Linked DNA regions of Diceros bicornis minor. The protein of the gene in region 2 interacts with the protein of the main gene of each other region in a pairwise test. Links are inferred from orthologs where the notes say so. Each region holds a gene or a part of one and is shown on either strand. Other genes may lie near its edges. The genes, in order: CEP57L1, KLC3, BICDL2 and TSNAX.

Evidence for each region.
Region 1: the proteins of KLC3 (region 2) and CEP57L1 interact in binary tests that used the Homo sapiens proteins (3 or more experiments, as listed by UniProt). The two-hybrid records come from large-scale screens. The link is inferred for Diceros bicornis minor from reciprocal best matches to the Homo sapiens genes KLC3 and CEP57L1.
Region 3: the proteins of KLC3 (region 2) and BICDL2 interact in binary tests that used the Homo sapiens proteins (3 or more experiments, as listed by UniProt). The two-hybrid records come from large-scale screens. The link is inferred for Diceros bicornis minor from reciprocal best matches to the Homo sapiens genes KLC3 and BICDL2.
Region 4: the proteins of KLC3 (region 2) and TSNAX interact in binary tests that used the Homo sapiens proteins (3 or more experiments, as listed by UniProt). The two-hybrid records come from large-scale screens. The link is inferred for Diceros bicornis minor from reciprocal best matches to the Homo sapiens genes KLC3 and TSNAX.

Annotation. Positions count from the first base shown.
Region 1 is NC_080762.1:26,352,902-26,360,799, reverse strand, and holds the start of CEP57L1 (centrosomal protein CEP57L1), read left to right. Parts: upstream 1-4,879; 5' UTR 4,880-4,890; coding exon 4,891-5,004; intron 5,005-6,280; coding exon of another isoform or gene 6,281-7,678; exon of another isoform or gene 7,679-7,713; intron 7,714-7,898. Other genes in the region: FOXO3 (forkhead box protein O3), read left to right, coding at 6,281-7,678. UniProt on the Homo sapiens protein: Centrosomal protein which may be required for microtubule attachment to centrosomes.
Region 2 is NC_080773.1:19,617,992-19,625,113, reverse strand, and holds the start of KLC3 (kinesin light chain 3), read right to left. Parts: upstream 3,014-7,122; 5' UTR 2,961-3,013; intron 199-2,960; 5' UTR 191-198; coding exon 1-190. UniProt on the Homo sapiens protein: Kinesin is a microtubule-associated force-producing protein that may play a role in organelle transport. Plays a role during spermiogenesis in the development of the sperm tail midpiece and in the normal function of spermatozoa.
Region 3 is NC_080765.1:45,491,419-45,499,070, forward strand, and holds the start of BICDL2 (BICD family-like cargo adapter 2), read left to right. Parts: upstream 1-4,651; 5' UTR 4,652-4,700; intron 4,701-4,946; exon of another isoform or gene 4,947-5,070; intron 5,071-5,999; 5' UTR 6,000-6,013; coding exon 6,014-6,295; intron 6,296-7,652.
Region 4 is NC_080745.1:24,675,037-24,681,945, reverse strand, and holds the start of TSNAX (translin-associated protein X), read left to right. Parts: upstream 1-3,894; 5' UTR 3,895-4,000; coding exon 4,001-4,016; intron 4,017-4,465; coding exon 4,466-4,570; intron 4,571-6,909.

The DNA.
Region 1 (7,898 bases), on a different chromosome or scaffold from region 2:
CATTTTGCTGCTTTTGAGACAGCAGAAAAAAAAAGAAGAAAAGGCTGTCTTTTAAAAAAAAAAGAAAAGGGCAAGAGCCTTTAAGAGTTAAATTACACAACTCCCTTTTTATTTTTAAAGTCAGTGGATTCCTTGTTGCTGTTGCTGAAAAAGATAAATTGATACCACATGTTGCTTCCAGACAAAACCCTCTCTGTGTTCCAGGGGAAGCACATGCAGCTGGTGTCTGGGTTGGTGGACAGTCTCCACACGGTAAACACAGTTTGGAAGGGGCTGAAGCGGACACAGGGTAGCAACAGTTAAGAAATTACCAGTTACTCCTGACTGGCACAGCATCTTTGAAATTCTTTTAAGAGTTTGAAATCTTTTCCTGGAAGGAGCCGCCCTCACACCTTTTGGCTTAAAGTATATGGTGCTCGGAAAACAGTAAGTGAACATTTGTGATGTCACTGCTTCCGTATGTGGGATCTGACAGTTGAGAGCCTCTTTTGTGCTTGGCACTCCAATGAGTACTCTGCATGCGCAATTTCATTTACTCTTTCCAAATATCCTAGAGTTAGGCAGAGAGGGTGTTTTTATCCCCATTTTATGAAAGGGGCAACCAAGGTTAAGTCATTTGCCCAAGGTCGCAGGACAAATGCCAGGGCCAGGATTCCGACTCGGATCTGGCTGACATCAAAGCCTGCGGTCTTTCTTCGGCATCACGCTGCCTCCCTCCGTTGGCCTCCTTAAATGCATGTGTGAATTATCCACTTTGTAAAGTATTGGTGGAATACTTTTTCGTTTCAGGCAGCTTCTCTCCAACACCTAATCTGATCTGTTTTGGGTCCATCTGTCTTCACAACCAGTTGGCATATATGTAATCACTATGTGCACTTTAGCATTAGCAATAAATGCATCTTGCAGTAGACAGCTGCCTTCAGTATAGCAAGAAAAATAATTACCAGATTCTGATGTGTACAGTCATCTTGATGCTAATTTCTTCGAGGAGGGCCAAGCGAAGGGATCCCTAGCCTGTGGCCCACATGAACCACAGTAAGCATAGCGTGACTGTGGAAGGAGAGTTGCCTCATGCTGCCTCCTACACACTGCTGCACATACCTTGAAATATTAGGCCACTAATTGCAACTGCAATCACAAAGGACACCATTTAGCCAGTTGTTACTAATTAACTACACCTAATTTCTGTCCCAGAGCAGAGCTTGCTTCTGTGTAAATGGTTTTGTAAAAGAGAAGATTGAGGGGGCTGGCCTGGTGGCATAGTGGTTAAGTTTGCACACTCTGCTTCAGTGGCCCGGGGTTCGCAGGTTCGGATCCCCAGTGCGGACCTACGCACAGCTTATCAAGCCGTACTGTGGCAGGCGTCCCACATATAAAGTAGAGGAAGATGGGCACGGATGTTAGCCCAGAGCCAGTCATTGTCAGCAACAAGGAGAGGATTGGCAACAGATGTTAGCTCAGGACTAATCTTTCTCACCAAAAAAAGTAAGTAAGTAAAGAGAAAATGACATAAAAATGAGATGAAGAGTATTCTTATCTCTGCTCTCTCTTCAGACACGTTGTGATGGAGTTGCTTTAAGGGTTCCCTAAATCTTTGGATCCATGTTGGAGAAAAACTGGTATATTTATCCCTGAAGCTCAAGTTTCTTTCTAAAGATGGTGCTTTCTTGTAATTCATCAGTATCCTGATTTCTTGGTAGTGGATTTGACTAACCGGAACTATTCAACATGGTCTGGGGTTGAGGTTATAGTTGCTTCTTGGTGCCTTTAGTTAGTAAACTTGATGACAGAATGGCCTGAGCTCTAGCAATAGGAGTCTTGGTTGGTAATATTTACCTTTTCGCCTTAGCCTTAAGGAGAGCACATCCCTGGTACTTCAGCCAATTAACATTGGCCTGCCTCACAAGGTGTTTCAAAATGTGTATTTAGATGTGATCAGAAAAACCACTCTAGTCCTATCAAACCATTCCTCCTTTACCTTCAGCTCCTGATCCCCAAACTAATGTAAAATCTTAGAAATTTAGACTATTTGGTAAGATGATATATGAATTAGTGGAAAACCATAGAATATTTTTAATCTGGTAGTTTTATAGTTTAAAATACACATAGTACATTAGAGACTAATTGACAGAGCCTAATGGAGAGGTCTTTAGAAAACTTAAACTATAAATCATAAGAGGATTTTACAGTTGGCTTGCCTATTTTTATAAATCCCACTTCTTTATTCCTGGGATTGAGGTGAGGGAGGAGCAGTTTGAAATCTTACAGAAATCATATCATCATTAGTTTTTGTCATCAGGGAAGGTGTGGAGAAACATTGCAGTTCTGACATTTTATCCAGCATTTATTTATTTACCTTTTCCTGCTTCACCAAAATTTAGATAGAGAAGCTAGTGATTAGAATCACGACCTATGAGGGAAACCAGAATACAGTTCTGGCATCTGACCTTGTCAGAGTGAGGGGCCATATTTGTTAGCTTCTGTCAATGCCCTGCCTTCAGATAATGGATTTTGTAAATGGAAGGCTGGCCAGCCTGTATGGATAGAAGGCTGCTAAGAAAGGGGACTATGAGGATGGTGGTGGCACAGTTTCTGTTTGTGTTGTCTCAGTAATGTAACTGGAAAAACCTGTCTGAGTGTTGTGTAGGTAATACACCTCAGGGAATGTATTCTGCCACTAATAACCTCTAAAACAAGAATAGAGCAAATATTGGACACCGAAGCTAATCACCCGTGTAATAAGTTGGGTTTTGTTTCAGAATGGTAACCACTGCCCTCTCCTTAGAGTGAATGCTGTGGTGGGCACCTTAGCAAAGAAAGCATCTGCTCAAGTGAGCCTTCACTTATAGGTTTGCTCTTCTGAAAGACAGGCTTTCTTTTAAATTTTTTTTTTTTTTTTTAATTTTAGAAAAGACCCACCAAATTATTACCCCTAACTATTTTGTAAACAAAATTGCAGTAATAAGATTGTGCTTTTGTATCTTTCTTTCATAAATGTTTGTTTCTTTAAATGTTAGCACAGATAGGTTAAACAATGACTTCTACATAATTTGGTGACAGACCTTTGGTTCTTATAGACACTAGCTGTGTGACCTTGTGTGAGTTATTTAATATCATCTCTCAGCCTGAGTCTTAAGATATATGATGAGGGCACTGATGCCAACTTTGCAGGTTTGTTATGAGGATTAGAGACAATGAATCTAAAGCCTATGGCCCAGTACCTGCTGGTGCTGTAATCAGGCAGGCTCTCCGTTCTTCACCCTGGAAGTTAGGGCCTGGGCTCTGACCCCTGCAGATCTGTTCCTAGGTATGGGGATGCCAGCCCCTCTACCATGTACCCTTACAGAAGCTTAATTTTTATCTCCAAATTTTAACCAATTGTAGCTTTTCATTTTATAAAATTACACGTATACATTGTCGGGGTTTAGAGTTGTAGTAATAGATGACCATTAGAAAATTCATACAGGGCATTTTGGAGATCTCTAAATTATTTCTTTTTTTTTTTTCTCAGTTTGGAATTGGTTAAATTAAAAATACATTTTTAAGAAATATTGTTCCCTAAATGCTTTTTAAAAGGAGGATAACTGGATACTTATGATTGGTCATTGTTAATTCTGAATGTTGGTCTGAACTCTTTCCAAAATCTGGAGCAGAGGGGCCTGGCCAGGGTGGGGGTGACTGGACCAGTGTCCACGTGGCCCCGCATAGCCTCAGCCTATTTTTCCACCAAGAAGATGAAGCTTAAGTTTTTGTTTAATATATCTAGTCGTGTGAATACTCAATAGTAGAACCACCTTGCACTTGCCTGCTTTGTGAATCCCACCAAGTGAGTTTTAAGAGCATGCTTCAAATCCATTTTACAGAGACAGTGTTTTACTTTTTAAAGAAATGTAATTTCTGAACCATTAGTAGAGATGCCATTATTCTTTTAAGAACCATACGAGTGAAAGGGAAGCAGGATATATAGTCTCCTGGGCAACATTTGTCTCATCAGATACAGGCCTGTTGCCTGTTTGCTTCTCACAAATGCATCTTTATGGCCACCGTAGAAATGCCAACTTTTGACCCACGGTTGTTGACGCTCACTGCCCAGCCTGAACTGTAGGCCTTCCTTGCACAGAAACATAGACGTGGGAGGTACTGTGAGTATTTTGGGTTATTTACTTATGGTAACATCCCGCTGACTTGCTGTGTTTTAAAAACATTCTGGTAGAACACATGTATTTGTATCTTCTACATAAATACAGTTGGCGATTGCCAATTTTTTTAAAACTATGGGAACTTTTAGGATTGTTCGTATTTAATGCACAGCATCAGGCAACATCTTATGTCTTTAACTTGCAAATAAAAACTCATCTGGCCTGCAGGTGCTGTTCCAGATGTGGAGAATCCATCGACTCCTCTCTCTTATTCCACGTGAGGCATTTTACAGATTAAAAGGAGCTCGCACAGGTGGTGAGCTCTCTCCACCAGGGACTCGGTGCTTTCTAATAGCGTAAGAACACTCTGATTTCGTACGTGACTGGCTCCTAAAGTATCTTATCATATATCATCCTTACGTCATCCCTGTCAGGGAGGGGTGATTTGGATGCTATTAGGGCTGTAATGAAGATGGAGAACTGGAGTTATTGCAGATGGGTTAAGTGATTTGCTCAAGGTCACATGGTTGGTCACAGACAGAGATGGGACTGGATCTGGGTCATGCTGTCAACTGGGCTTATCTACCAAGCCAGGAGGAGGATTCTTGCAAGATGGGTGTAGTCATTAGTGTTTTGAAGCTATTTTTCCCTATTTCTCTTTTCTTTTTTTGTGAGGAAAATCAGTCCTGAGCTAATATCTGCCAATCCTCCTCTTTTTTAGCTGAGAAAGACTGGCCCTGGGCTAACATCCATGCCCATCTTCCTCTACTTTATATGGGACGCCGCCACAGCATGGCTTGACAAGCGGTGCATCGGTGCACGCCCGGGATCCGAACCGGCGAACCCTGGACCGCCGCAGCGGAGCGTGCGCGCTTAACTGCTTGTGCCACCAGGCCGGCCCTCTCTTTTCTTTTTTAATAAACCTTTTAATTTAGAAGAGTTTCAGATTTACAGAAAAGTTGCAAAACTAGAACAGAGAGTTCTCATATACCCAACATTGTTTTCCCATATTGTTAACATCTGTTAGCTTGGTACATTTGTCACAATGAATGAACCAATATTGACACATTATTATTAACTAAAGTCCCTAGTTTATTCAGACTTCCTTCATTTTTACCTAATGTCCTTTTTTTGTTCCAGCCTCCCACCCAGGATACCACATTATGTTTGGTCATCATGCTTCTGTAGGCTCCTCTTGGCTCTGATAGTCTTGAGGAGTACTGGACAGGCATTGTATAAATGTCCCTTAATTGGGATTTGTCTGGTTTTCTCCTGGTTAGACTGGAGTGATGGATTTTGGAAGGAAGGTGCCATTTTCATCACATTATTTGAATGCATGTCATCACCATGACTTATCCTGTTGATGTTCCCCTTGGTCACCTGGCTGAAAGAGTGTTGGTCGGTTTTCTTCAGTGTACAGTAACTCTTTTCCCGCCTTTTTGTACTGTTCTCTTTGGAAGGAAGTTAACTATGCTCAGACCACATTGCCTTGAGGGGAGAGTATCTATAAATTATTTGGAATTTTTCTGAATGGGAGATTTGCCTGCTTCTTCTGTCATTGCTGCCATTTTTTCCTTAAGCCTGCCAGACAGGTATGACATTGTGGCAGGAGGAGACGGAATCATAGAAAGGATAGGTTAAAAATGCACTCCAGTTCTGAGCTCATAGAAGTTAAGAAAAGGTAGATGCTGCTTCTATGCTGGTGGAAGAGGGGACGATGAGAGAATAAATAGCCCCTGGGTGATTCATTATCCTAGAGCCAGGGAGGTGTGTGGCGAAGTGCGGGGAGAGGGTGGTGTGGTAATAAATTATAAGTGTGAACTTCAGAATAGGAAATACAATTACAGAAAGGACAGCAAAACTTAGGAATTTGGGGAAAACAATGTCAGTGAGCTTATACATTCCCAGCATCTCCTGGATATGAAACCATCACCCACCTCCTAAATATAAAACTTGCCGTTTACAATGTTGTCATTTAACTCCAAGCCAAGGCGGGTCCTGCAGCTGTTTGTCTTTTTTTTTTTTTTTTAAGCCTCTGAAATTGAGGAGTTTTTAAAAAATGAGTCCGATTAACTGTTTCTTCTCGGTACTCAGTTTGCAACATTCAGGCTCATCTTCTGCATTTTCCCTTCTCTCTGCAGAACTCTATCCGGCACAACCTGTCGCTGCATAGCCGGTTCATGCGGGTCCAGAATGAGGGGACTGGCAAGAGCTCTTGGTGGATCATCAACCCTGATGGGGGGAAGAGCGGGAAGGCACCCCGGCGGCGGGCCGTCTCCATGGACAACAGCAACAAGTACACCAAGAGCCGTGGCCGTGCAGCCAAGAAGAAGGCAGCCCTGCAGACAGCCCCCGAGCCAGCAGACGACAGTCCCTCCCAGCTCTCCAAGTGGCCTGGCAGCCCCACATCACGCAGCAGCGATGAGCTGGATGCATGGACGGACTTCCGCTCACGCACCAATTCCAATGCCAGCACAGTCAGCGGCCGCCTGTCACCCATCCTGGCAAGCACAGAGTTGGATGATGTCCAGGATGATGATGCGCCGCTTTCCCCCATGCTCTACAGCAGCTCAGCCAGCCTCTCACCCTCTGTAAGCAAGCCATGCACCGTGGAGCTGCCACGGCTGACCGACATGGCGGGCACCATGAATCTGAATGATGGGCTGGCTGACAACCTCATGGATGACCTGTTGGATAACATCACGCTCCCATCGTCCCAGCCATCGCCCCCCGGAGGGCTCATGCAGCGGAGCTCTAGCTTCCCATACACCACCAAGGGCTCCGGCCTGGGCTCTCCCACCAGCTCCTTTAACAGCACGGTGTTCGGACCCTCGTCTCTGAATTCTCTGCGTCAGTCTCCCATGCAGACCATCCAAGAGAACAAGCCAGCTACCTTCTCTTCCATGTCACACTATGGCAACCAGACACTCCAGGACCTGCTCACTTCGGACTCACTCAGCCACAGTGATGTCATGATGACCCAGTCAGACCCCTTGATGTCTCAGGCCAGCACCGCTGTGTCTGCCCAGAACTCCCGCCGGAACGTGATGCTTCGCAATGACCCAATGATGTCCTTTGCCGCCCAGCCTAACCAAGGGAGTTTGGTCAATCAGAACTTGCTCCACCACCAGCACCAAACCCAGGGCACTCTCGGTGGCAGCCGTGCCTTGTCGAATTCCGTCAGCAACATGGGCTTGAGCGACTCCAGCAGCCTTGGGTCAGCCAAACACCAGCAGCAGTCTGTCAGCCAGTCTATGCAAACCCTCTCAGACTCTCTCTCAGGCTCCTCCTTGTACTCAACTAGTGCAAACCTTCCGGTCATGGGCCATGAGAAGTTCCCTAGCGACTTGGACCTGGACATGTTCAATGGGAGCTTGGAATGTGACATGGAGTCCATTATCCGTAGTGAACTCATGGATGCTGATGGGTTGGATTTTAACTTTGATTCCCTCATCTCCACACAGAACGTTGTTGGTTTGAACGTGGGGAGCTTCACTGGTGCTAAGCAGGCCTCATCTCAGAGCTGGGTGCCAGGCTGAAGGATCACTGAGGAGAGGGGAAGTGGGCAAAGCAGGTCAGTGCCCAGTGCTATGGCATGATAACCCAGTGGGGATGGTTGGGGGAGGCTGTCTTTTATTTGCTTTGAACTTGACTCCACATTGAGAATTTGAGAACCGTGGAGCGGTGGTGCACAGTAACATGGCTGCCGCCAACCAGTTCATCTCCAAGTTTTACCTGCAAAACAAATAGGGCTGTCAG
Region 2 (7,122 bases):
GCAGCTCCAAGCCAGCCGCCGGGCCCTGCCCTGCCAGGGCCTCAGCCAGGTGCCCGGCCAGGCCGCGGTGCTCTGCCCGCAGGGCCTCCAGCCCCTGCACCACTTGTCGCGTCTGTCGCACCAGCTCCTCAGGGCTCAGGCGCTCGGGGCCCAGCCCCGTGCTTCCGGGGGCTGCCACCTGCACGGACATTGCTGCTCCTGGGGGGTAAGCGGGATGGAGGAATCACTGCCAGGGCCAGGCACCAGCCCCTCAGCCTCCAGGCCATTCCGGCCAGCAGGACCCTTCCCAGCTCTCCCTCCCTCTCCATCTTTCCCGGCCAGCCCTCCGCCTCTGTGCTCTGCCCACTCCAGCCAGCACCCTGTCCCACACCCATCCCGGCCGGCCCGAAGCTGGGAACAATCTCGTCCAGCTTTGCCTGTCCCGAGGGCAACCCCAAAACCCCACTGTGTGTAATTAACCAAAGGAGGGCACACCGCTGGCTCGCCCTTAGCTCACCTGGCCGGCCCTCCCCACCCCGAGGACCCCAGACACCCTGGCCCGGAACTCCAGCTGTGGGACCTGGGACTGGAGGTGCCCTCCTCTGCTGGGCGTGTGGGGCGGGGCAGGTGGAGGCGGCAGCCTCTCTGTGAGCTCATTCTTAGGGTGTTTTTGTTGGGAACCAGTCAGACCACTGGGGGTGGGGCGCGAGGAGAGGGCCAAGGGGCTGGAGTGCCGGAAGCAGAGGAGGCCTCCAGGTTGGGGGGGTCAGGGAGGGGGCCCCATGCGTTGGCTCCCAGGGCCTGTGGAGCTGACAGACCCAGAGGAGCTCCGCCCTCCAGTGCAGACAGGCCCAGCCAGCCCAAGGCGTGTCGGGACACACATGTGGCAGGCGTGGCCCATGGGTGTCATCATTCCGGCCGTGTGACAGCTGAGGGGCTGAGGCCCAGATCGTAATGGGTGGGGGTCTCATATGTGGGACTTCATGTGGCTGTATGTGGGTGACAAGGTCCATGACAGCTGGTGATACCTCTGGGGCCCTCACACACACAGACACACACACACTCTCAGAAATATAACACTCTCTCCTTCCTTTCAAATATGACACAATACACATTCTCAGAAATACACCTCAACACACACACACACACACACACTCCCTTGTTAGAAATATAACGTAATACACATTCTCCTCTCAGAAATATCACACACACACACACACACACACACATTTTCCTTTCAGAAATAACACATGTACACTCCCCTCTTAGAAATACAACCCAACACACAGGTCTATTTTCTCTTCAGAAATAAAAGCCAACACATGAAGAAGCTCTCTCTGTCTCTCCCCCTTCACCTTCGAAAAATAACCAAATCCCAGATCACTCACATCCTGTCTCCTTGCACCTGTCCCCATGACACACGCCCTGTCCCACAGTCCTACAGTCCCGCAAGCAGCCACCTCTCCAGTATCTGCCCAGCACCTCCTCTCAGCACCACCACCACCAGGACTCACTGCGGATCCGTCACCATCTTCCCCACTTCCTTCCACGCCCCGCCCCCTGCCAGGCCAGCCAGGGATTCGCAGGCCCGCACGTGGTGCACACACACATACACGGACGTGCAAATGATCCCTGAACTCAGACTCAGTTACGCTGTCACAAGTGGGTGCCCACGGCACAGACGGCTGTGGAGACGCGCAGAGGGAGTGCCACAGTGTCCACACCCGCCCCCCACAGGTCACCATGTCCACCCGAAGCAGCCCAGCGGTTTCTGCACCTGCTCGCACGTTCACCATCACACACACACACACACACACACAGGAAGGGCAGGTGTGTAATCCTGAGGATTTTATATACGGCAGGCTCTCAGTTGCCATCAATCTCTCTATACGTGTATATATGTATGTCACACCATGCTTAGTCTCACACCTCACACACAGGCCCCATGAACAAACTCACAATCACACAAGTTCATTGAGCCCTTCTGACAACCGCAACCATTATTCATGCAGTTTTGCCGACGTATACAACCTCCCATGACATCACACACAATCTCAGACAGCTGAGCTGAATGCTCCAGACCCAGCTTTGCACGCACCACCTACAGCCAGACTGGCAACCGTGGTGGGTAACGGTCACAGCCACACTCACGGCTCGACCACAGCCACACATCACGCGGGTTGCTTCCTCCACACACACCAGTTCCCACCCTCATACAGCCCCCCAAGCCACACACTCCCCTTCATGTGCTCAGCCCTGTGCACACAACCCACAGCTAACAATGATAGTCACAGGCACACCGCACACATCCATGCTGTTCCACACACTCCCCACCTCCCTGGCACCCTCCCCATCTTACAGGCAGAAAGACAACCACGGCCACACACCCTCACACCTAATCCTATAAACAGTTCAATGCCCTACCATACACACAGGCCCCCCCCAACAGTATTACAGACACACCATCAGAGGCACCCACGTTTTCACATCAGCGAAACAATTCCACATCATTCACACAGTCTCTCTGCCCCCTGGCAGGGTTACACCGACGGTCCATCTCCCTTTGACACGCACATCCACAACCTGACACCATCACACACACCCCTGAGCTTCGTGCACCCTCACTCATGCACACGCACACACTCGCAGGCACGAGGCCCCCATCCTGGCCAGGCCCCCCCAAACCACGCAATGTACTCCCGCCCAGCCCCGCGCGCCGTCACAAGGGCCCCCTCCCTCCGCGAGGCCCCGCCCCGTCCTCGCTCCTGTTTACCTGCGCACGGGGCAGGGGGCGCGGCCCCAGATGGGCCTCCAGAGCCAGGGAGCCCCAGGCCGGCGCAGGGGGCCTCCAGGGGTCCCAAGGCCCGTCCCCGTCGCAGGGCCAGCGGGCCCAGGGGTGCGCCAGGCCCAGCTCCCATCCCCCGCCCCCGTCCCCATCCTCGCGGCCCCCGGGGTCCCCGCCCCGCGCTCCCGGCGCCCACCTGACCGCCGACGGCTCCGGGCCCCGCGGCCCCGCGCCGCGCCCCGCGCACGCCCCGCCGCGCCCCTCTGCGCCCCGCGGCTCGGCCCCGGCTGCTCCTCCGGGGCGGGGCGGCCATAGGCCACGCCCCCAGGTGAGGCCGGCCACGCCCACCGCCCGGGCCCCGCGGGGAGAGCAGGACCCCGCCCGCGGAGCCCGGAGCCTCCAGGGCACGTCGAACCCCAGGGTGATTCCAGCGCGCTGGAGGCCTGAAACGGAAGCTAGAATCTGGGAAACTCGGCATCTTGGAAACTTTGGATCCCAGACCGATGGCCTGCCGCCCGGCCTTTGCCTTGGCAGTGCCCATGCTTGGACCTCCCTTCCCATGGATCTCGTCGTCTATCTGGCCTCTTCTCAGAGGCCGCTTCCTCCGAGAGGCCTTCCTTGCCTGCCCCTTCTAAATTACACTCTCCCACCCAAACATACCTCATTTCCCTGCTGGATTTTGTTCGCAAAACTTTTCAGGGCCTAAAATTATTTTAGGTAACATAGCACATTATTATGTTATGTTACATCACATTGTTGGCGAGGTAACTGACGGCTAAAGATTGGCTTTGGGTTCAAATCTGATTTCAGCACTTGCTGGCTGTGCAGGCCTTGGGCCAGTAACTTAACCTCTCTGTGCCTCCGTTTTCCTAATCTGGAAAATGAGGATAGTCAAAGGCGGAGAGGATTGAATGAGTTAATACATGGATAGGAAGCATTTAGCAAATATTAGTTACTGGTTATATGATATTATTGGTTCTCCAGGACTAGAAAGTCAGCTCTTGAGGTCTGGGTTCTGTTTTGTCAGCACTGTTATTTTTAGCACTAGAACAGAGCCTGGCGCAAAGTAGGTGCCCAATAAATATTTGTTGCGTGACTGACAGAATGAATCAAGTCGTAGAAACGTAAATTGGCCAAAGCTGGACGCACAGGATTCTAGATCATAGACTTTGGTTCAACGCGAGTTTTTCCCAACTTCGGGAGCACTCCGGTCGCTGCACTACAGGATGCTTCCAGCAGAGGGCGCTGGGGGACCGTGGACCAGGCGCCAGATCCAGCGCGGGTCCTTATCTTCCCGCAGAGCGGCAGCCAAGCTGCTCTCTACCCCCTGGTTCTTCGAGCCCCACTGCAGATGCTTCCTGCTCTAGGAAGCCCTCTCTGATCCCCCAGGCTGGCTCAGACGCCTCTTCCGGGCTCCTGCCGCCTCCTGGGCTCCCACATCCCAGCCCTGCCCGCTCCGGGTCGTCAGTGTCTTGAGGACGGCTCTGCCTCCCCCGCTGGACTGCACTGTAAGCCCGAGGAGGGGACGACGGCCCAGGACAGTCTCACTCATCACTGTGTCTCCAGTACTACCCAGCCCAGGCCCAACACGGAGAAGGCAGTCGGGAGAACGGGTGTTGATTGAATGATGGAAAATAAAACTCAAATGCACGCTCTTAACTTCTCCAGGTTATTTCTAGGGAGCAGGGTAGAAGGGTCCAGCTGAGTCCCTCCCTTTCCCCCTCCCCCACTGTTTTGGCCTCAGGACACTGGACGTTGGTTCTGGATCTGCCACACACTTACTACAAGGCAGCACAGGGAGTCGAGCCAGGTGGCCCAGGTGCAAATCCCTGCTCCATCGTTTGCTGGCTGTGTGACCCGTTAGCCAGGAACTAACCTCTCTGGGCTTCAGGTTCCTGGTCTGTAGAACCAGACTGACGAGGGTACCCTACTTTGTGAGGCTGTTGGGGGATTAATGAGTAATCCCTTTCAAAGGCTTAGCGCAGAACAGCGAGTGGAAACACTGTGTGGGTGGGGGTGGCGGTGGCTGGGAGTTGGAGCCAGCGAGACCTGAGTTCAAATCCTGGGCTCGCCGTTTCCTTTCCTCGTGACCTGGGGCAGGCAATGATTTTCTGAGCACCTGTTTCCTCATCTGTTAAACCAGGATTGTCACGCTCGTCACAGCACAGTGGCGAGGATTAAATGAGATAAAGGCTGAAAGGAGAAAGTGTTGACGAGGGTGACCATTTCTTTAGGCCGGCCCTATGCCAAGCACTTTCACACAGCACCAACGAGGGCTGGATTTTCTGAGTTCTTAGCCAGAACTGGCCCTATGTTAAGTCTTGTAAATTAACGCTGTTAATCCTCACACCGACCTGATGAGATAGGTGCTATGATTATCCCCATTCCACAGGTAAAGAAGATGAGGCACAGAGAGGTCAAGTGACTTATCCAAGGTCACACAGCTGAGGCATAGCAGAGCCTTGCATCCATACAGCACCCCCTGTGGTAGGCACTATCACTAGCCCCATCTAAAGATGAGGAAACTGAGGCCCAGAGAGGAGGAATCCCTTGCCCCAGAACACAGCCCAGAAGGCACTCAACCAAACTCCCATCCTGTCATTGAAGGCCTCAGTTTGCCATGTCAGGAAAATGGGTGGATGGATAAGGATCTTTTTGATTGTTACCTCTTGGCCAGTTTTTAGAAAGCTGCCCCCCCCCCTTTTTAATTTACAAAGTAATGCACTGTCAGAAAAAATGTCACAGAGAACAAAGACTAGTCTCTCCTTGGTCCCCACACATCATTCCCAGAAGGAAACTCCCAGTTTCTGACATCCTTCCAGAGGTATCCCATGGACACGAATGATGGCCTTGGCTTGGGTGTGGTCCTGTGAGTTGCTCTGACCAATGGCAGAGGGACACAAGGGATGGCCAGGCCGGTTCTGAGCTTAGACCTTCAGAGGTTCAAGAAAGACCTTCAAGACATTGACTGTCTCCTTTTGTGTCCCCGCCTCAGCATGAGAAAGGCCCCCGCTGCGTGGCTGCTCCCCCTCTGGCCCACACCCCACAATGTCCACATACTATCAAAAGATAAACTGAGGCAAAGTAAACATTTTAAGAGTTTATTTGAGCAAAGATTGATTGGAATCGGGCAGCTTCTGATCCAGCAGATGGAAAGGTGCTCTGAGGAGCAGGACAAAATGAACGACTTATAGGCAGAAGGGAGCAGGAATGAGGAGGTTGTATTAGGCAAAAAGGCAGCTTGGTGACTACAAGGTCACTTTCCCTGACAGGGGACGGCAGGGGCCTATCAAGCAGATACCGATCTAGAGCTGACCAGGCGATTCCTGATTGGCGGGTTAAGACTCCACTTCCGGGGCCGGCCCGGTGGCGGAGCGGTTAAGTGTGCGTGCTCTGCTGCTGGCGGCCCGGGTTCGGATCCGGGTGTGCACCGACGCACCGCTTGTCAGGCCATGCTGTGGCGGCGTCCCACATAAAGTGGAGGAAGATGGGCACAGATGTTAGCCCAGGGCCAGTCTTCTTCAGCAAAAAGAGGAGGATTGGCATGGATGTTAGCTCAGGGCTGATCTTCCTCACACACACACACACACACACACGCACACGCACACACACACACATATACACACACACACACAAAAGATTCCATTTCTGGGAGAGCGGAAACCGTCATTCAGTTCGGTCTCGGTTTGGTGATTGGTGACGTGGGGCTTAGTGTAAGTGACTCCATTTTGAGCCTGCTGAATTGTTTTTAACAGTATGGAGCCGAGCTTCCCAGCTGAGCCCGGCCCAGATCAGCCAACTCTCAGCCGACCCCACGCCCATTTTTAAGCTACTGCATTTTGGGGTGGTATGTTTCACAGCCTTCTTGTGGCAATAGGTCTATAGTTATTTTTTCCCACTTAGCAATATATCTTTGTGCTATGGTCTGAATGTTTGTGTCTCTCTCAGATTCATATGTTGAAATCCTAACCCCCAAAGGTGATGATAAGTATAAGTACATGGGGCCTCTGGGAGGTGATTAGGTCGTGAAGTTGGAGCCCTCATGAATGGGATTGGTGCTCTTATAAAAGAGACCCCACAGAGTTCCCTTGTCCCTTCTGCCACGTGAGGATACGAGAGGTCTGTGATCTGGAAGAGGGCCCTCACCCGACCACGCTGGCACCTTGATCTTGGGCTTCCAGCCTCCAGAACTGTGAGTAATACATTTCTGTTGTTCGTAAGCAACCCCGTCTTTGTTACAGCAGCCCGAATGGACTCAGGCTCTTGGCAGTTTTTCCAGAGCGTTACATATAGATTAGCTTTACTCTTTTTCACAGCTGCATATTATTCCAGTAGGAGATGTCTCATCTTTTATCCAT
Region 3 (7,652 bases), on a different chromosome or scaffold from region 2:
TAAATCTCAGAAACATTCTGGAAAACCCTTGCCTGGATTCTTCAAGAAAAAGTCAATGTCCTGAAAGACGTATAAGACAAGGAACTACTTTAGATTAAAGGAGACTAAAGAGAAATGACAGCTAAATGCAATACATGATCATAGATTAGATCCCGGATCAAAAAAAAATCATGTAAAAAGGGCGTTACTGAGAACATTTTAACGTGGGCTGTATATTAGGTAAGATTACTGTATCTATTTTATCAGTGTTCAGTTTATCACATGTGATAATGGTACATGATTATGTAGGAGAATATCTGCATCCTCAGGAGATGCGAGCTGAAGTAGCCAGAGGTTTAGAGAAATATGTGCAGGTGTGTGTAGTGTAAGAGACATGGAAATTAATAAAAGAAACCTTAACTAAATTGGGTCGGGAAGGCCTGTAGGGGGAGCTCTCAGCCCTATCACACATCATCAATTACACCAAACAAGAAAAGAGGATGCTTGCACCTTGGACAGTAAGGAGAACTACTTACTACTGAAGGAAGACTTCTCTCCTCACCAGGTAACAGCCCAGCCAATCGGAAATACTGCAGCTTAGCCAATGAGAAGCATTGCCGCCCTGACCTGCTACATCTCCCCAGAGGAGTTTCATTCAGGACAGTCCCTCCCTACCCCCCTTTTCTCTATAAAGGCAGCTCCCCTCCTCTCTTTTCTGGATTTGCCTATGGTACGCCATAGATGCACATCCTGAATGGCAATTCTTTTGTCTACTCTCCAATAAACTCATTTTGAGATAAAATAACAGGCAAATTTGCTTTTTAAATTGACAGAGAAAGAGAAAGTGAAGGTGGAAAAATGTTCACAATTGTGAGCCTAAGTGGAGGGTGTTCTTTATATTATTCCTACAACTTTTCTTTAGGTTTGAAAAATTCTCAGACATTGATTCGATGGATACATACAACACGGATGAATCTCAAAAGCATTATGCTAAGTCAAATAAGCCAGGCCCAAAGGCCGCATACTGTACATGATTCCATTTAGAGAGCGTTCTGGGAAACACAAAATAATAGTGACAGAAAGCAGACCAGTGGTTGCAGGGGTTAGGGGTGGCGAGAGAGATTGGCTGCAAAGGATTACGGGGAACTTTGAGGGGTTATGAAAGTGTTCTATACCATGATCGTGGTGGTAGTTACACTTCTGTCAAAACTCATCAAATGAAACACTTAAAATTGGTGAATTTTATCATATATTAATTATTCCTTGTAGTGGGTTGAATTGTATCCCCCAAAAAATATGTCCAAGTCCTAACATCCAGTCCCTGAGAATGTGACATTATTTGGAAACAGGGTCTTTGCAGATGCAAGTTAGTTAAAGATCTCAGGATGAGATCATCCTGGTTTTAGGATGGGCCCTAAATCCTGGTGTCCTTAAATGAGAAAGGAGAGCGAGATATGGGACCCAGAGAAGACCCAGAGGGGAGGGCCGCGTGAAGATGGAGACAGAGACTGGAGAGATGCAGCTACAAGCCGAGGAGCACCAAGGATTGCCAGCAGACACCAGAAGCCAGGAGAGAAGCATGGAATACATTTCACCCTTAGAGCCTCTAGAAGGAACCAACCCTGCCCAAACCTTGATTTTGGACTTCTGGCCTGTAGAACTATGGGACAATAAATTTCTGTTGTTTAAGCCACCTAGTTTGTGGTCATTTGTTACAGCAGCCCTAGGGAATGAATATCTGCCTCAATTTAAAGCTGACTTTTGGGCTGGCCCCGTGGCTTAGCGGTTAAGTGCGCGCGCTCCGCTACTGGCAGCCCGAGTTCGGATCCTGGGCGCGCACCGACGCACCGCTTCTCTGGCCATGCTGAGGCCGCATCCCACATACAGCAACTAGAAGGATGTGCAACTACGACATACAACTATCTACTGGGGCTTTGGGGAAGGAAAAAAAAAAAAAGGAGGAGGATTGGCAATAGACGTTAGCTCAGAGCAGGTCTTCCTCAGCAAAAAGAGGAGGATTAGCACAGATGTTAGCTCCGGGCTGATCTCCCTCAGCGAAAAAAAAGCTGACTTTTTTTAAGTTGGGAAAAACGTGGAAACATCAGGTTAAATGGAAAAAGCAAGCTGCAGAACAATGCGTTCAGTGTGAAATATTTTATATAAAGGTTTTAAATGCTCCAAACAATAGTACTTATTGTTCATAAACTTTGCATATACTGTAAAAGCCTGGAGGCGCCTGGGTCTGGACCCACACCATTCCCACAGGGGTGTCTCTGTGGAGGGGGCAGGGAATGCCGTGGGGCATTCTGCTGCCCTCCAGATGCCCAGCATAGACTGCCCAAGGCATTGTGACATGTGTGAAGGCTTCCCCAGGGAGAAGTCCCCAGAGCCAATACTTGGAACACCAGGGGCCCACCAGGTGGTTGGGAAGGTTGGGGAGAATGTTCCAGGCTGAGTATGGGCCTGGAGGCTCCAGGAAGCTAACTTGTTTGGGGGCAGTTGGAGAGCAGGTGAGGGCTGGGTTATCATCCCTTCCCTTATCTGGACTAGTCCCAGCCTCCCTAGGGCTTTCCTGGGGCCACTCTGTCCCTCCTTGCCATCTTCCCCTGGGATCAGCAGGGAGGCTAGGGGAGAGGAGCTGGGGGCTGAGGGAGGGGCCAGGAGGCCAGGACTTAGGTCCAGCAGGGAAGCCAGAGGCCAGACTCCTGGGTCCAGAGAAGGCTGGGGGCCAGATTCAAATGTCCAAAAAGTGACTGGGGCTGGGAGCCGGGCAAGCTGGGAAGACAGGTCGGTCATGTAGCCACAGGCAAATCACTTCTCCTTTCTGAGCCCATTCCTGGCTGAGAATGGTATGACCTCACAGGTTGCTGGAGGATGGAATATATTGTAACATGCGTGGTGAGTCACCGCTTGTGGCCGTGCAGAGGATCGCCAGCACCAACTAAGGGCTGCTACTTCACCCTCATTTAATCCTCACAACCCTGTAAGCTAGGAACTGCTATCACCCCCACTTTACAGATGGGGAAACTGAGGGCTGCAGGTTAATCAGCTGAACGGCATAAGTGTGCACAGCTGGTAAGTGGCCACACTGGGATTTGGACCAAAGCCATGCAATGCCAGTGCCACGAGCCAAGATCCTTTGCTGTACTGTTTTATTGCTTCATTTCTCGTTTATAGGTCTACACCCCCTCCCAGCTCCTGGGTGGACTGTGAACCTCCTTGGAGTAGGGCTTTGACCACTTCATCTCCAGATGAGCCCAGCCCCCTGCCTGGCAGAAGGGGGCTCTGGGAAGATGTGTTGAGTGTGGGCGTGATATGAGTGGGATCCAGGGTGACCCTGGCATTTGGAGGGGGTCGGGTGGCAGCACCAAGGGGAGACTGGGGTATTTCCAGCCCTCCAAAGTCCACCAGGCTGTTCCCACAGGTGCTGCGGGAGAAAATGGTGGCCTTGGTAGGCAACACAGACCTCAGACCCCTTTGCAAAAGAATTAGCGCCCCTACTCTGTGCTGGCAGGGAACCTTGTCCCAGCCCCGGGACCCAGGAGTCCCAGCCCCTAAACCACCCCTCCAGGGAGTCCTTGCACCCATTTTCCCACAAGTCAGGAGTCCCAGCTCCCTTCTTCCTCCTATTTTCCTAGGACCCAGGCAACTGGGCCCCCAGGCACTCAGGAGTGCTGAGCCCCAGCCCCAGTGTGCAGGACTCCGCCAGTGCCAGCTGGCAAAAGCTGACCATGCATATCTCCGCCCAATGTCACCTTCAACGACGTCGTGTCAGTAGCTTGACAGCAGCCGTGGAGGGAGTATTTATACCTCGGGAACTGGTGAAGGCAGCAAATCTGGGCTTTCTTTCCCCCAGAGAGCCCATTGTTAAATGTTACCAGCACGCCACTGCTCCCAGCCCTCTGTTTGTCCCTGCTCACCAGGCCAGGGGACCCTGACAGGAGACTCGTGAGAAGCCACCAGGTCATGGCTGGGGCATCACCCACATACTCAGGCTGCACTGGGCTGGAGCCCGGAGCCAGCCCTGGACCCTCCTGATCTCCACATCAAGGGCCCCAGCCCTGACTGGAGCGTGGTGTCCAGCTCTGGGCTGCCTGGGAACCAAGAGCCCAAAATGGAGCCACATGGACTGAGATGTGGCTACGGGCAAGTCGCTTTATCTGTCCTCACCTGCAGCCCCATGTCAGCATAAGAGCACAGACCCTAAAGTCACACTTTTGCCGTTCACATTCAACTTGTGCCCATGTGACCCCAAGCAAGTTAGATCCTCCCTGAGCCTCAGTTTCTTCATCTGTAAATTGAGGATGATAGCAGTTCCTGCTTCATTAGGAGGTCATGAAAGTAAACAAGTTGTGCTATAAAACAGCTTACTTAGCAGAGTGCTTCATACAGGTTAGATTTGTTGTTATTATGATTGCTAATAATTTCCTGTCCCACAGGGCAGGTGTGAGGGGAAAGGAGCTCAGCGGTGAGGTCTGCATACAGTAGGTGCTCGATTAATGGACCCTGTCATTTGCGATGGCAGCAAGATGAGTCAGTGCCTCGGACCTGGGTGGAGGAGACTGTCCTTCGCCTCCGCCTGCCCATTCCGGCCACCAGGGGGCGCCCTGGCCCCGCCCGCGGCCCCGCCCCCTCACCTGTGCGGCCAGTGCACCTGGCACCGCCTCCGGAAGAGGGGATCGGGGACCGCGGGGACCTCGGAGGGAGCCCGGCGTCGGCGGGTGAGAGCTAGGGGGCGCCGAGGACACGGGCCCTTCGAGCTTGGGCGGGACAGGACCGGGTGGATTCAGCGCGGGCGCCTGGGGGGCGGGGGACGCCGGCAGGAAGGCAGGCGGTGGCGGGGCTCCGGACGTCTGTGGCTGGGGTCGAGAGGCTGGGGGCCCTGATGCCTGGGTCGAGATGCTAAAGGGCAGCTCCTTGAGGGGAGGGGGAAGAAGGAGAGACGCCCCCGGGTCTCCGGAGTCGGGTCGGGCCGCAGGGGCCACGTCTGGGAGACCCCGGGTCCGGCCAGAGAGTGGCTGTGCCGGGACTACGGCGACACCTGGGTCCTGAGGCTTGGACACCTGGCGAGGAAAGGAGTGGGAAGGACAGGTGTGTGTGTGTGTGTGTGTGTGTGTGTGTGTTTGTAGGGGGTGGGGAGACCTCAGGAGGGCTGGAGGGGGAAGCTACCAGGGAAGCCCTGTGCCTCCTCTCCCTCTGGAGCCCCTGACCTGCTGGGCCCTGGGCCGCCCTAGGCCAGTGCCACCAGGCTTCCATCCCCAGGGGCGGGCCGGGAAGTAAACAGAAACCTGCGGTGTCGCGCTCAGTCGCCAGCACAACCTGTTACCTCGCCCTGCCCTGGGCCCGATACCCAGGCCCTGGGAAACTGGGGGCTGAGACCAACACTCCAGAAGGGGTGGGGGGTGGGGCTGAGGGTCTGGTCACCTGAGTTCTGAGTGGTGAGGACCAAAACCCCTGGCTGCTGAGAAAACAGGAGAACAAGGGCCAGGGCATCTGAGTCCTAAGGAGCTGGGGCCCTGGGCTTCTGTAAGAGGAGGGGCTGGGTTTCTGGGGGCAAAGGGGTGAGGGCACCTAAGTTGCCAAGGCCCTGGAATCTTGGGAGGAGAAGGGACTGGACTCATCTCTGAGTCCTGAGTCCCTAAGAACCTGGGTTCTGGGAAGAGTTTCCCAGCCGGTGGGGGGCTAGGAGCCAGAACAGCTGGGTTCTGGGAAGAGCAGGGGGCAGGGACTGTCAGCGGGTGGCCTGTGGTCCAGGAGAACTGGGGCAAGGTTACCTGGGAGCAGAGAATGTCTGCCGGAGGCAGGGGGCAGGGCAGCTCATTTCCTGCTTCTCCTTGCCTCAGTTTACCCTGGGGACATTAACGGAGCTGGGCGGCCCTGGCTGCAGGATTGGAAGGGCAGTGGGCAGGTGGAGAACTGCAGGAGGGCCAGGTCTTGGGCAGTGGGGAGCGAGCCCTGCTGGGCTGCAGAGTAGAGTGTTCTGTGGCTACCTGTCCCCACAGACCTACCTATCCCCACAGACGCTGCAGACACCATGAGCTCCCCTGAAGGGCCGAGCTTCCCATCGGGGCTGCTCTCGGGGGGTGCCTCCCCCAGCGGCGACGAGGGCTTCTTCCCTTTTGTGCTGGAGCGACGGGACTCATTCCTGGGAGGGGGCCCAGGGCCTGAGGAGCCCGAGGACCTGGCCCTGCAGCTGCAGCAGAAGGAGAAAGACCTGCTATTGGCCGCGGAGCTCGGCAAAATGCTCCTAGAGCGCAACGAGGAGCTGCATCAGCAGCTGGAGACACTGAGCGCCCAGCACTCTGAGCGTGAGGAAGTGAGCTGCCGGCAGGGCACAGGGGTGGGCAGGTGGCAGGGGAGGAAAGCTGGGCACAGGGATGCCTCTGGAACAGTTCAGGGCTGGGCTCAGTCCCCCTGGCAGTGTTGTTCGGTGGTTGAGAACAGGGGCTCTGAGGACAAATGAAGACCTGGGTTCAGACCCCTGCCTGGCTGTGTGACCCTGGGTAAGCCTCTGGCCCTCTCTGAATCTTGGGTCCAGCTCCTCCGCAGTATAGCGCACCCCAGGCAACAGTTACCGGGTGCCCCCTCCCTGCCTGGCTCTGGGCTGAGCACTTTCCATGCACCATCTTGGGCAGTTCTCACCCCACCCTGTGAAGGAGGAACAGTTCTTCTCTCTGCCCAGGCTCTGTTGTCAAACACTCTCTCACCCTGGCAGTCACGTCTGGCCCCCTAAACACCCTGGACACCACTGACCCCTGTATCCATGTTGTCAGCGGCCCCAACCACTGCCCTGTACCCGACCTGGGTAGCCTACCACGCCACACTCTCCCCACAGGGCCACCTAATGGACATCTCCACATTGGTGGCCCTCTTGACTGTGATATCATCACCTCTGTCCCCATCCTGGCCTCTTACCTCAGGACCAGAGCCTGTGCATCTCCATGACCTCTCCTCCCACAGCCACGAGCCCTGTGGATTGTTCTTCTAGAATAGATTCTGAGTCCACCCACCTCTCATCGTCTCTGCAGCCCCCATCACCTCTGCCCCAGACACTGCAGCTGCCTCCTCAGTGGTCCCAGCTTCCGCTCTCGCCTCTTGGAGCCCATTGTCCATGAGGCAGCCAGAGGATCTTCAAGAGTTGCAAATCAGGGCTCGGCCGGTGGCTTAGCTGTTAAGTGCACGCACTTCGCTGCGGCAGCCTGGGGTTTGCAGGTTCAGGTCCCGGGTGCTCACCGATGCACCGCTTGTCAAGCCATGCTGCGGCAGCGTCCTATATAAAGTAGAGGAAAATGGGCACAGATGTTAGCTCAGAGCCAATCTTCCTCAGCAAAAACAGGAGGATTGGCATCGGATGTTAGCTCAGGGCTGATCTTCCTCACCAAAAAAAAAAAAAAAAAAACTTGCAAATCAGATCATTTCAATTCTTGGTCAGAATTTCCCAACGGCTACCCCTCACACTTTGAAACTGAAACTCCTCACAAAGGCTGAAAAGTCCTCGCGTGTGGACCTCCGTGACCTCATCTCAGTTGCACTCACTTCCTCCCCCGGCACATCTTTTCAGTTCCTTGAGTAACCCAAGTTTGTCCCTTCAGGGCCTTTGCATCTGCCGTTTCTTGCATGCAGCCCTCTTCCTTCTTGCCCTGCAGGAGTCAATTCAGACATCACTTCCTCCC
Region 4 (6,909 bases), on a different chromosome or scaffold from region 2:
CATTTGGATGGTTTCCACCTTCTGATTATTGTGAAGAGTGCTGCTATGTACATTCACGCACATGGTATATACCTAGGCGTGGAATTACTGGGTTATATGGTAATTCTATGTTTAAGTTTTTGAGACTGTCAAATTGTCTTCTACAGTGGATGCACCATTTTACATTTCTGCCAGCAATGTATGAGAGTTCCAATTTCTCCATATGCCCACTGACACTTGTTATTTTTTGTTTGTTTGTTTGTTTTATTATAGCCATCCTAGTGATGTGAAGTGGTATCTCATTCTGGTTTTGCCCATCTCTCTTTACTCCCTCAAATACCAGGTTCCCTCTCCAGTAAAGAACTGGAACATCATTTTCTCCTACTAAGTCCTAGCGTTGCTTGAAAAATAAATCTGTGCATTGCTATGTGCATGCTTCAAAATACCACTTTGGACCCTACAGGTATCTTTTAAATATTATAGTTACCATTTTAAAAATGGTCACTCAAGATTCTGGCAATTCCCCATGATTTCTGCTCCCCCACCTCCAGAGTTTATGTAATAACTACATAATAAGGTAAACGTGGGAACAGAAAATCTCTTGAAGGCCTATGTTTCTTCTCTTATTTGATTACAGCCATGCATCGCTTAACAACAGGACATATTCTGAGAAATGCATCGTTAGGCAATTTCGTGGTTGTGCAAACATCATAGAGTGTACTTACACAAATCTAGATGGTATAGCCTACTATACTTCTAGGCTATACGGTACTAATCTTATGGGATCACCATCGTACACACAGTCCATCATTGACTGAAATGTCATTATTCAGCGCATGACTGTATATGATTTTTTTTCAATATCCAAAACCAGTTTTGATATGTGATTTTTTTTCCTGTAAAGGTAACAAAAGTGAGGATTTATAAACCAAATAAAAACAGGTATGCTTAAAAGCCTTAGAGCTTTATTCAGAGTCAAATGTGGGCAATTAGAATGCAACAATAGGAGGAGGAAAGAAAACCATTCCAGAGGTAAGGTCTTACCAAAGATCTTTACCTTCCTCTCCCTGACTTGGGGTAGAAGTTTTCCTTTAAAACCAAACAAAAATATGTTTTGTCAAACACCAAAACTACGTATATGCACCTGAAGCAATAAAACAAGCAGACAGAGTGGAGATGCCTTCTGCAGGTTGTCAGAGACTGAAAGGTATTTCCTGACAAAGGAGTAGCTATGGTTGGGACACCTGGGGTAACTGCATATGCAAATGAATGCTGGGAAAGTGTCACTGGGATTCACCTTCATTAAGTACTTTGAGAAGTCATTACAGGTTCCGAAACTTAGTGTTCTAATCCTCACATTTGTGGGAAGCAGTGAAAAGCAGTTCAAGTAACACAGCTATAGTTGAACAGTTGAACTGGAGTGGTGGCTGGAGAAAGAAAATATGGCTCATCCAGTTTTACAAAGTTGAGGTCTAGGTGTAACTGGACTGGAGAGTCCAATCGCCCAGGTTCTTGGTCAGTGGAAGAGAGTAATTCAGACACTGACACAATGGCAACAGCAAGCAAGCACAGATTTATTAGAGGAAAGGTCAGATACATTTCAAGTGAGGAGCAGACAGCGCCAGAGAATGCATCTGCCCTGCGTCGTGGGTTAGGTTTATTTTTATTTGGGCTGTTTTGATGGGAATTAGCACTATCTGGTTATCCACCAATAATGGTCTTTCCTCCACCCACACGTTGGGATGGGGAGTTCTTAACCTTCTAGAGGAGTCTCTGGAACTGTCATGGCAGACATCCCCGGAGGAAGGGGGCTAATGCATATGGAATTTGTATGTAAATTAAAGAAAAGTCAATGTCCTCTAGAGGTGTATAGCAGAAGGCTTTGTACGTGCTGTTTGTGTACCCGTTATTTTTATTGTCATGGTTGATGGCCTCAGATTTCCAGCGGTGGCGCCAGGCAGGTCTCGGTTCTCCTTTATCTGCATCTTGTAGGATGCCAGCAAGATGCTTCATTGATGCAGCAAGGTCTCCAGCCATGATCCTCCACTCATGTCTGGATGCCAGTAACACGCTCCATTGCATGCAGCAAGGTCTCCAACTATGACCCCCAGCTCATGTCTACCTAGCTACCTATCTCACAGGGAGCTGCTATTCCAGTAGAGACAGGAAAAATACACTTTTCCCAGACTATGGTAAAATAAGTACTGACTCTAAAAATATCCATAACTTACTGGCTTCCTTAGATCTAGAGGAAGTCACATTAAAATGACTACATTTATATTAAAGTTGTCTTGTTTTTTTTCATGATCAAGTCATCTCTAATCAAAGAGTTGGAGGGATACTGGTGGACAATGTCAGGAAGGTCAGACCTCACACAAACTCAGAATTATCTGCCCAACATCCACAAAGCAAGTGTTCAGCCCAGGTCTTCAGGAGCCTATTTTATCTACCATTAATTTGGCTAACCAATTCCTGTATTCAAAAAGCTGCAAAGGTATAATGGGTGCTGGCTACTTCTCGCTTCAGAGTTGGAAAAGACCCTAGAGATTACTTGGAGCAGGAAACCTTCTTATGACACACTCCTGTCAGGGGCTTGAAACTACTGCCATATTCTAGCCAACTTGTTTCATTTACCGTTCCTTTGTTTCTCAATTAATAAGGAAGAAAGACTGTGTGTACAACACATGCCTACAATACAGAGGTTATTTAGAGAAAGCGTAACAAAACATACTTGTGTTTTCCCTACTAGGCCTAGGCCACCCAATTTACCAAGCCTTACCCTAAATTTATATGTGGAGGATGCTAGATTGCCACTTAGTTACCCATCCTGATGATGGGAGCGTCATTCTTCAACAAACACTTACGGAAGTTACCAGGGCACTGCACTACGGCAGTATTGGGGGTGGCGTGGGCACAAAGCCTAATAAGTCTAATAAGATATGGCAGCTCCTGCCCATAATAAAAAGCTCACAATTTACCGGTGCACACCCGTTATTATTACTGATGTCTGTTTTTTTTGGAGAGCGACGTTGGGAAAAGAGTATCAAAGCTAATACTTGAGCGTTTACCATGTCAAAGTCACTCTTCTATGCGCCTTAGTATTAACTCACTTTGTCCTCAAATAATCCTACGAGGCGGGTACTATTCCATCCCTATTTTACAGATAAAAAAACTGAGGTACACAGGTTAACCGCTTCCTCCAAGTCAGGTAACCACTCAGTGGCAGACACGAATTTGAACGCAGGCAGTCTGGCTCTAGAAAGCCAGGAAAAAGGGGTAAAGCGAGAGAGGACGGAAGAAGAGGGAGGAGAAGGTGGGAGACAGGTAGGGACGGAGAGGGAGAACAGAGGGCTGTTTTACCTTCGTCAGAGAAAATACTAATAACGCCATCAACTTATTGATTTGCATATTTCCATCACTTTTAGCTTCTGGCGTCACTCCTAACTCTGTAAGGTTGGACTTTGGTCCTGAGAGGACCTCCCACAGGAGATCGCTGGCGCAGTCCTTTCTCACAGCCCGGTCTCCAGCACCACATGGCCCTCTCCTGCGAGGGAACTACAACCCCCACTATGCACCGCGCGGGGGGCTGGGTCCATGCTGCGGGAACGCGAGGGTGTTCCAAAGGTGCCGTGAGGGAAAAAAATCACGTACACTTTTCGCCGCTTTCCCACCTTCACACAGACTCACCTCCAGGAGGACGGATCGTCTTTTTCATTAACAGCGCATAGAACGAAGCGTGTGGAGTCGCTTCTGTCCTCAGGCACAGCCGAGGGCAGGCGCAACGACAGCGCCGGCCGCGAGGTCCCCCGGGCCACGTGCGGGGCGGAGCCAGTGGCGGCGAGGCTGAGTCGCAGGCCGGAAGTGTGCGAGAGAGAAGGGAGAGGCTTGAGTGGCTGCCGGCGCGCCTTCCGGTGGGTGCGTCGACGTCGGCCAGCAGCAAAGGGCGCCTCGGCAGGCTTTCGGCGCTCCGCTTTCACCAAGGCCCTCAGCCTCCGCTCGTCTCACAGCAGGCCGTGACGACATGAGCAACAAAGAAGGTGGCGTCCTCGGCAGCATTGGGCGTTATTTATTCAGAGGGAGAGGATCTCCAACCGTTTTGTGGGATTTTCCATTTCTCCTCACCCTTGAGGGATGCCCTCTCCCCTTGCAGGCTCGGTGGGTGGGAGCGGCCGGCCCTGGTGATTTTCCCGGCCAAATGGCCTTATTTGCACCTCTCATTTTATTAAATTCTCGAGCTGATTTTTAGCTTAATTCGGTAATTCCCCAGCTTGTGCACATCATTGCTGGAGGCCTGGATGAGGTGAGCTTAGAGTTTGGGGGGAAAAGAGCGGGGCTGCTTTCCTGCCATTCAGCTGAGAAAGCCTGTAAGGAGAGCACTCTGTGGGCCTCTGGTTTAAAGGAAGGAAGGGATTTGCCTGTGTTATATTTTGTCAACTTTTGGTAAGAGAAGAGCCCTATCCAACTTTTTTCTCCTTCTCTACGTAAGGATCAGGAGGGTTCAGGAAAAGGAAGCATGACAATTTCCCACATAACCAGAGAAGAGAAGGGAAGGATGTTAATTCCTCTTCGCCTGTGATGTTGGCCTTCAAATGTAAGTTCTCTGTCATGTAAGTTGGCGAAGGGAAGAGAACTAAAGAGATTATAACAGGGATTATTTAGTTATGTTGTCTGCAAGAAAACAGCCCTTGAGAATTTAAGATGTGCATATCTGAGCCTTTTACTTTTCCTGGAGGTTTTGCCGTGGTGCCAGGTCTGCCATGAAAGTTGAGATTACAAAAGGCCTGGGTTTTTTTTTCCCATTAAAGTTTCACAGGTAAACATTAATGTCAGACATGCCACATAACTAAAAATTGTTGTGTACCTGATATATGCATATATATAAATTAGATATATGTATATCAGGTACATATATGTATATATATGTCAAGTGTTTATATACATATATGATCAATTAAATTTTTTTTTTTGGTGGGAAAGATTGGCCCTGAGCTAACACCTGTTGCCAGCCTTCCTCTTTTTGCTTGAGGAAGAGTGGCCTTGAGCTAACATCTGTGCCCATCTTCTCTATTCTGTATGTGATTCACTGCCACAGCATGGCTTGATGAGTGGTGTAGGTCCGTGCAGGGGATCTGAACCCGTGAACCTGGGCCACTGAAGTGGAGTGCACCAAACTTGACCACTATGCTACTGGGCCTGGCCTCTAATTAATTTTTTAACGTGTGTTGGTTTTTTTTCCTCAACTAGACTTTTGAAGATAGGAGCTATAATTTTATTTTGACTGTAGCACTCTGCACAGAGTGGGAACTCGTGCAGAATCCTATGTACAGGATCCTGTGGGAATCCTATGTATATATGTATTCACAATCCCCCTTTTCTCAGTATTTTAACTTGGTCAAGTTGTTCCTCATTTCAAAACAAAACGTAAGGCAAAGTTCTCCTTTCTCTTGTCCTCTATCTACCGTACTGTACCTTATAGTTTCTTGGTTCAGGACGCCGAGAGGGGCTTGGCTATTGATTCTAACTTGCGGTCATCTGAAGGCTTGATTGGGGCTGGAGGATCCACAGCTATTGATGAGTTAGGCCTTCTGCCAAAAACCACCTCTGGTTCCTTTCCACGTGGCCCACTCTGTAGTGCTGTTTGAGTCCACTCATGTTTCAGCATCCGGCTTCCCCTGGACAGAGAGCAAGGAGGAAACCACAGTCCCCTATGTCCTGATCTCAGACATCATACACCATCACTTTTGCTGCATTCTATTTGTTAGAAGTGAAGCAGTTTAAAAACTCTGCCTCATATTTAAGGGGAAGGGAATTACGTTCCACCTTTTGAAGGGAAGAGTCTCAAATAACTTATGGATGTGTCTTAAAACCACCACCGCACTTAAAGTGATCTTCAGAGGTGTAAGACAACTAGTTGTGATTGAGTAGAGAGCATATTGATACAGTTATATACTCGGTGGACTACAGAGCTGCTTGTTTCCAAGTGTGTTTTGGTGTTTTATGTTTCTGCCTGCCTTTTCACACATAGTTCTTTAAGCTTGGAATTGCTTCTAACTTGGTGCCCCCATTGTCCATCAGTGAACTATGGTTTTCTTCAAAACCTAGATCAGGTAGCTTCTATTTGAAGCCTTTCGGATTTTTCTCTCAAGCAGGTTGGTGACAAACATGGCATTCATTCATTATCCCTCCATCCATTCAGTCATGAAGTGTTTACTGAGCATCTGCTGTGTTCTAGCATGTGTTAGTAGTGAACAAAAAAAATGTGGTTCCTGTTTTACTGAACCTTTTACATATATTTATTATAGTGTGATCACATTTTATTTGTTTACATCTCTGTCTCATACTAGACTAAACTCCTTGAGGATAGGATCTGTCTTATTTAACTTTGTATTCATAATGACAGCTGTGTAGTGGTCATTAATGTATTCATAATAAATAACGAATACATTTGATTGTCTTGAAATATTAGGCAAAGTCCTAGCCTAATTATTATCTCAATAATAAAAGACAAGATGTATTTAGGTCCTTGTTAACTACTAATTTAGTAGTTTATTCAAGTTTTGGATTTTTTGTAATTCATGCAAAATACATCTGTTGCGTGCTCCCTATATGACAGGCAACTTGCTAGGTCTTTGAAGTGACAATCCTTCTGAAATAAAGTGGTTATTTAAAAGTTAAGTGGTTTATGGGGCCAGCCCGGTGGCGCAAGCGGTTAAGTGCGTGCGCTCTGCTGCGGCGGCCCGGGGTTCCCCGGTTCTGATCCCGGGCACGCACCAACACACTGCTTGGCAAGCTGTGCTGCGGCAGTATTAAGTGGTTTATGGGTATTTCAGTGACTAGCGCTTAAAAATTCAGAAAGTTGATATTATTAAAAGTTATAAACTTTTTTTTTTTTTTTGAGGACGATCAGCCCTGAGCTAACATCCATGCCAA